2 linked regions of the Coturnix japonica genome follow. The protein of the gene in region 2 purifies or fractionates together with the protein of the main gene of each other region. This does not show direct contact. Links are inferred from orthologs where the notes say so. Each region holds a gene or a part of one and is shown on either strand. Other genes may lie near its edges. The genes, in order: APBA2 and CLSTN1.

Evidence for each region.
Region 1: the proteins of CLSTN1 (region 2) and APBA2 purify together in Homo sapiens (affinity purification with western blotting; 3 studies listed by BioGRID and IntAct, with this or other methods). This does not show direct contact. The link is inferred for Coturnix japonica from reciprocal best matches to the Homo sapiens genes CLSTN1 and APBA2.

Annotation. Positions count from the first base shown.
Region 1 is NC_029525.1:4,914,007-4,917,829, reverse strand, and holds part of APBA2 (amyloid-beta A4 precursor protein-binding family A member 2), read right to left. Parts: intron 3,685-3,823; exon of another isoform or gene 3,029-3,684; intron 2,749-3,028; exon of another isoform or gene 2,580-2,748; intron 2,236-2,579; coding exon 2,155-2,235; intron 900-2,154; coding exon 863-899; intron 557-862; exon of another isoform or gene 397-556; intron 1-396. UniProt on the Homo sapiens protein: Putative function in synaptic vesicle exocytosis by binding to STXBP1, an essential component of the synaptic vesicle exocytotic machinery. May modulate processing of the amyloid-beta precursor protein (APP) and hence formation of APP-beta.
Region 2 is NC_029536.1:2,980,790-2,984,612, forward strand, and holds part of CLSTN1 (calsyntenin-1), read right to left. Parts: intron 3,091-3,823; coding exon 2,895-3,090; intron 691-2,894; coding exon 482-690; intron 1-481. UniProt on the Homo sapiens protein: Postsynaptic adhesion molecule that binds to presynaptic neurexins to mediate both excitatory and inhibitory synapse formation.

The sequences.
Region 1 (3,823 bases), on a different chromosome or scaffold from region 2:
TCTTTTAAAGCTCGACTTGTGCTGCCCTCCCTTTATAGTTGTCCACCATATGCTCAGTAGATGCTTATTACAAAGGATCAGCTTGCCTTCTTGTCTCTCCTGCCTTTGGGAAATGCATTTAATTTACTTCTATTTAGGGCCTGTTAGCCAGTGTATGCCAAGCGTGATGCGTAGTTTCTGTCAGATGTCAATTGTGTAAATGGGGCTGTCTTTGAACTTTCCATTTGCTCTAGATCTTGGAGGAAATGATTAGAAACAGAAGCTGCTAGTCAAGCTGACAAGGTCAGGGAATAGGTGAAAAACATGTTGAACATTCTAGTATTGTTCTAAGCCACAGTAACTTTTCCTTGTGTTGGGAATGGCATCAGAAATAAAATTTGTGTCCTTCATTTACAGTTCACATTGTGGAGAAAAGTGTGTCAGAGCAGATCTCTGAACAGTTCAGTTGCTTGATTCCTTTCTCTGTGCAAAGCGATAAAGAACAGAGTGCTCTTCTACCTCCATGAACCTCACCCTGACAGGACCCACTGTTTTCTGCCATTTGATCTCCTTCCAGGTTTGTAGCTGTCTCCATCTTGCCTTTAATCTCGCCTAGTGCTCTGTTTGCCCTTCTTATCGTCATCAGCTCTCATTGTCAGTGGTATGTATAAGAATGTTAAATATTTCCATACGTGGTGTATTCTGCACAGAAATAGGTTTAATTTATTCTTTACACTTTGGAGCTGCTTCTCTTGAATTTGACTTTTTTTTTTTTTTTTTTTTTGACTTTTTTTTTTTTTTTTTTTTTAGAATTCTAGAATTTTGATCTTTAAAATATATCATTTCCTTGTTTATACTTTAACTTGGATGATGCGTAACTTACCATCAACAAAACTTGGAAACGAAGACACTTTCTTTGACTGTTGAAAAATAAAAGTAATACATGGTGTAAATGTAATGAAATAATTTTCACAAACTCAAGTGAATTCATATTACAAATAGCTGACTATTAATTTAAAAAAAAAAACACAACACAGTTTTCTCTGCATAACTTTTGCATCGCCATTATTTACAACAATGAAACACAGTGCATTATAGTAATTAACCCAACCTGTTACACAGTTCTGTTTTCCTGGAATCTTAAAGTATTTTAAGCAGGTCCTATCATACAAAAAATAAGGTGGTGTGAGGAAAAAAATGAGGTCAGCTGTCAAATGAGCAATACCAACCACAGATTCTAATCCCAGCCCAGTAACTCATCCACCGGATCACACTACATAACATCCCGAATTTACCATTAAGAACATTTAACGGTATTTCACAAATCAAGATTCTTAGTCGATGAATGAAAAGAACTGTCCCTGACTGCACACTGCCTAAGCCTACCACTACTGTCTATACTCTAAATGAACAGATCAAGTCCTGCCATTTGTTTGTTTTACATTGGCCTCCTCAGGTACCACTGTTTCCAAGGAAGGGGCTGATTTCTCCTTAATGAGAAAAGGCTTCAGAAATCTTTCTCCTCGGTAAAGCAGCAGGCTAAATATGGTTGTATGTTTGTGAGAAAACTCATTGCTGCTTTTTAGTCTGAATTTTACTTGATTGTGTCCAGCCTCGAGCTTAACCTCATTGTGCATTCTGAGGTACCTTGTGTGCTCCACTCTTCAGTGACAAGAGCAGGTCTGCCTATCACTGTGTCTTTTCCAGAGCTGACTGAGCAGGGACACATTCACCCCAGAGGCCACTAAAAGAAAACGAATCACTTGAGCCCTCAGAACTGAATGAGGTGCTTCATATTAGGGATTATTTAAAGGACTGTGAGAATTAAGCAGTCCTTTGGTTTCAAAATCTGGCATTTTAGGGGAAAAGAAAACAAGGAGAAGCCAATTTCTTTTTGATGTTGCTTTTACTCTTCAGTAATACAAGAACTTCTGAAGTGTTTTCTCTCTTATTTATGTCATCAGAAAATTCTAGGCTTGAGTATATAGTGTGGATGGTTAAATGAATGTGGTAGCAAGTGACTCATGGGTATGGTTTAAAGATCTGAATACACAGTCATGGAATTTATCATCAGTTCAGGAAAAGGACGAGTTCATGTAATATGTTTGTGAGAGGGAGAAAGCTGACAGTTTGGTAACTGGGTTCTCAACCCGCAGAATGGCCTAAAGCACCTACCTCAGGTGTGTTATTATTGTCAACTGGCCCATTGAGGTCAGAACGCTGCTGCTTCCGTGGCTGTTCTAAACCATTGCACATCTGTAAGAAAAGAGAGAAAGGACTTAAAATTCTTCTGTTTTCTGAAATTGTTTACAAACCAAAATCAGAATTTTAAAGTATGTTCATGCTTAGCAGTGGACAAAATCACACAGTCCTAAAGGCACCTCTGATTGGGAAAGCAGTATCCTAGCACTGACTCCAGGATTCTCTGTTCATGGGATATTCCTTATGGTATCTCCCTCTTTTTGGGCCATTTTTGGACATGTACCGATAGCTGGTAGCGCAGCTTCAGGCTTCTGAATAAATGCTGAAGTGAAAATATAAAAGCATATTTGAGGGAAAAAATGAGTCTTAAAACCAGGGAATGCTCTTTTTCTTCTCAGCCACAAAATCCTCATGAGCAGAATTTCTCAAGACTGACCCAAGTCACAGAACAGCACCTGGAACAGGGACTGCATGTCCCACAACTGCCAAGAAAGTGAAGCTTTCCTGACACCGTTTCACTGTTGGAAATCTGGAAGGCCTGAATCATAGAATCATAGAATTACCCAGGTAATTCTAGATTTCTAGATGTCATTTTTTATGGTTAAGGACATTTCACTTCCTTTTTTTCTCTGCTTCCCCATTATGAGTAAAACAAGAGTGCCTAAATGTGCTGGGAGGCTGGACAAATGCAGTTCTGTACGAACAGTTGTGCTAATGGAAAATGCTGAGCCATTATTATTTCAAAGCATTAGCATGAAAGTTACCTGTGAGCATAACTCCTTGTCTGCTGACTTCCAAATGCAATACCCAGCTGTAGATCAAAGAATGTTTTTGTGTTTGTCTCTAGACAAATTACTCCCCATGAATAATGGTTTGTCAGCTAAATAAAATGTGAGACTGAAGCAGATATATTAGTGCCGCTACTTCATAACAACAACGTTCAGGTAAGACAGCATACACAAGGAAAGAAGTAAGCATGGTTTTTGGGAAGTAGAATACCTGAGATGGATTGAGGCACAGAACTCCACGATATGGGGAAGCAGACCAGTGCCTTGTGTAGATGGCTGCAGTAGCTAAGAAGCTTACTTAGTAATGCTATTTTGTTTGATACAAGACAAATCTAATCGTATTGCAGGGCTGAACTGATATGGAGCAATATGTGTTGATGTGCAGTGAATTATATCAATATGGGTAAACAAATACCCAAAGGGCTTTGATAATAATACTATAATAATCATACGTTATTCCCTAAAATAGTAGGATTAGACCAAATATGCTTTAAGCAGGAAACATGACATGGCCATAATGAAGATGCATTGAACTGTAAAAAGAGTGACAGCAAATAAATTAAATCCAATACGTACAACAGGATTTTAATACTTTTAAATCACTGTCAGTTCTGATTACCACACACCTCCATAAAATGAAAGCACACCTGCACGTCAATAAAGAATTGGTTGGCTGCTTTATTAAGCGCACACTGGATGCTGCAAAACATTACTGAAATATGTCTGTCACAAATCCTAAGTGGAGATGGACTTATGCAGCCCTTGGGATCACAGTTCCAATTATGCTCTTTGATAGTAACTCCAAAGAAGGTTCCATGCCTTTCTGTAAAATATCACCAAATACATGGATGACA
Region 2 (3,823 bases):
ACTATACTGCATTATATAATATACATATATATAGTATTTAACAGTATTATATTACTCCAAATTAAACTATTCACAAGTGGTAACTGGTAAATAAACTTTATCAGATATCTGTTTCATCTGCAGACCTTCAGAAATGTGAATACCTCAAAAATTCAACCTAAAGTCAGATAAAAACTGTCTTGTTTTGCTTGGCCAGGTCCCCTGGACTCCTGGAAATAGTCCACAGATCACAGACTGAATGGAAATGACCTAAACAAAACAAAACACTACACTACACTTCAACCCCAATACACTGTAAACTTCAGAGCCACATGTAAACATCTCACATGGAAAAAACACACTAACAGAATCCTATTTTTGAAAGCATCACAGGAAAGAGTTAAAGCAGGGTTGCTGCAGTTTTATGCTGATCAATTTGAAGCCCTATGCCTAAGGCAGTGAATGACAGTAATTCCAACTCTGTCTTGCATCACATTCTTACCGTCTTTGTCAATAGCGAAAGGAACATCCGGAGTTACGATTTCATAGCTGCAGATCTGGCTGAACTGAGGTGAACAATCTGCATCCACCGCTTCCACTTTCAGGATGTTATCATACCTCTTCCCCTCAATAACGGTTGCCTTGTATGATTTCTCTTTGAACACGGGAGAATACTCATTAACATCGTTCACCTGAATGTGTACTGTTGCTCTGGAAATAAAACACCAAAGTCAGTTTTCTTTACATTGCAGATCTCCCATTCTTGTGTGGAGTCTGACAGAACACCTCGTTTACAGATGAAACCTCTAGAATTTAAGCTCCCTGAGGGATGTCACCAACTACTAACGAGACTAAAAATCTCAAGTACCCGAACAGGAAAAGCAGCGAATATTTTCCATGTGCTTTGCTATGTAATTCTGTGTAGTTCCAAGCTGTTGTTTACTACTGCTGTTTAAAATCAGGTAACCAACATTGCAACTACTGAGTTGCTGCCACTTTCCAGAAATATAACAAAGTACAGCTGTGACAAAATAGGCATTTAGTTCTGATAGCACTACAATTCTTTCAGCTCTCTTTTGCTGTCAGAGAATGTGACACAAACATCCAATTTTTATTTCACGTGAATGACAGACATGACTAGTCTTAGGCTAGGAGCTCAGTCAAGTGCCTTTGATTAGCTTTCTTTTGATAATGAAGCACTGAGTGCTGTACGTCAGTGAAAACTGATTTATTTCCTGGATGTAGGACTGAGAGATCAGACAATTTAAATGGAAGAAGAAAAATTGCAATAGGAAGATGCACTGTAGCACCTACAGCAAGCTAAATAATCTTACACAGACTGGGTCAAGAAAAGGTGAATACTGAGAAGTATCTGAAATGTAAATAAAGAATCCAATCTTTGTGGTCCTTATGTAAAAGCAAAAGACTTAAAATGCTTGTTTTTAAGAAGTATTTTTAGGTTTCCTTTTATCCTGTATAGCCAAACAATTGCACCAATAAAAGGCTTTCTATAGCAAACACTGCTTGTATTCCTCACTAAAGTAACAGCCACAAGGCAGGGAATAGCAGCAGTGGTTTGCAGGTACAGGTTTTAGAAACCCCATTATTTTTCTGTAGCAAAAGAAGAACTGCAGAACACAGTCCTGGATCACAGAGCAGTGCTGCAATGACAGCTTCACCAACCTCAGCCATCTTAGCTCACTACCCAGAGAGAAATCTGCACAGCCATAACACTGCATCACCTGGCAACCACACACATCACACCTCTACCAAGGAAGCTGTGCTTTGCCTGCTCAGAAAGGCAGAAGATCAGCCACCTGTGTGCCAGACAGTTCAACTATTTATTTACCATTCATGCACTTACTTGAGATGCCTAAAATAAGGTATTTCTGAATATGTACCAGAGAGACTGAATGGCTGCTTTTTTATTAGGAACTTTCCCAATTCTACTTTTGTTAACATTTCTCTAGACTACATATTTTAGCACAACATATTTTAGTTTTATATACATCATTCTGGATCTATCAAGAAGGATGTTTACATCTCAACCAACCTGCACAGGCACAAAAACACATTTCAGTTGTACAGTGAGGAGAAGGAACTGTATTACAACATCGAACTGAGCAACTCCAGCCAACCAAACAAAATGATAACTGCCATCTTTCTGTTTCATATCTTTCTTCAAAAGTAAAATTCAACAAGGATACCTATTTTCCATCAGTGTAAGCCTTAGCAAGACAACTTTCTGCTGTGTATTTGAAGCATAGAGCTATAGAATAGCAACTGTATTTGTCACCAAGATGACTGCTGGTAAACTAGTCCTCATCTTGTTCGTGTCCCTCTTTGCTTTGCACTGATAGTAATCTTTCACATGCTTGGCAGATGTTGACACCAGGGTGTTATACAGTTACTTGCAAGTCAATTTCCAGAGAGCAATTAAATTGTGGTTTATTCTTTAGATAAAGATTGCTTTGTTCCCATCCTTTAATCTAGGCAGAGAAGAACCTTATGCTATTGATCTTGCTTTTTAGGGTGAGGCCGACGGAAACCAAAGCAATATGTATTCTTTTCCACTTTGTCAAGGCTTATTGAACCTGGATTTTTGTCTTAGAAACTGAATTCTGAAACAATGTTATAACTGGTAACCCATGTTGAGTCTTTGTATCAATTCAAGCCTGATTTTAAATATTTCAAGAGTCAACAGAGATGTGGAGGGCAAAGCAGTACCACTGAGAATACAGTTACAGATATCAAAACAGTTCATTTCCATTTTGATACTATATTGCCATTATATAAAAGTCTTCCACTATTAACACTTGGTTTGCATTTACTCCAGACACACAGGATGTAAATCACCAGGAACAGGAGACCAGTTGAAACCAAACTTCCCCTCAGCCAACCACAGATTCACTTACTTGTGGGATTTCTTTGCATTTGCTCCATCTGGTCCCTTCCCACAGTCATAGGCCTGTATGGTGAACGTGTAGTCCTTCTGCAGTTCACAGTCGAGTTTCTCTTTGGAGCGTATTATTCCCTCACCAGTGGATTTATCCACTACCACTGCTTCAAAGGGGACATTTTGCCCATGAATTTTAAATCCACAAATCTCACCTACAGATTCAAAGCAACAGAGGTTAGAACTGGTCAAAATCACGACGCTTTTTTTAAATGAATGACCAAATAGTTTGCAGCCAAGGGTTTGTGAGGGTCTGTGGACAAAGCAAGAGCACTGTGCTTTAAAATGGGTGATTTCTGGGAACTTTAGTAAAAAGAAGCATACGTCTGCCTTCCAAGCAACTCGTTTACTTGCATCCATTCATGCAGGAATACAAAAGAGAAAAAGAGAAATGTAGACAGGCATTTCACAGGAGTACTTGAGATAGCTCTAGGGTAAGAGTAGAACTTATGAGAGCACACAGCCAAGGCCACTTGTAATCTCTTCTATGCCAAGCTACTGGGAATAGCTGGGCGGCTTGTTTATTTTGACCAGAGCAAAAGGTTAAAATGCACAGTTACAAGTCAAGGGATGAGAAAGCTTCAAGGACAGGTTCAGCACCTTAATTACAGAAATTCTGTCAAGAGATCAATGAACAAAGTCTTCCTGTGCAATGTACCTGACTAAAATTAGGGAATCAAAATAAACTACCGAATGAGAAAGGTAGAAATACCAACTTCTCAGGCATCCATTTCAACAGCTATCTACTAACAGACCAAATTTATTAATCGAGAAAGCTCTCACAAGGGACAATTTGGTAGGCTTTCTATTCCATTCAATCTCTTCATCCTAATGCACTTGAAATGAAGCTCCTTGTACATCATTCTAAAACACGTCTGAGCTTGAGAT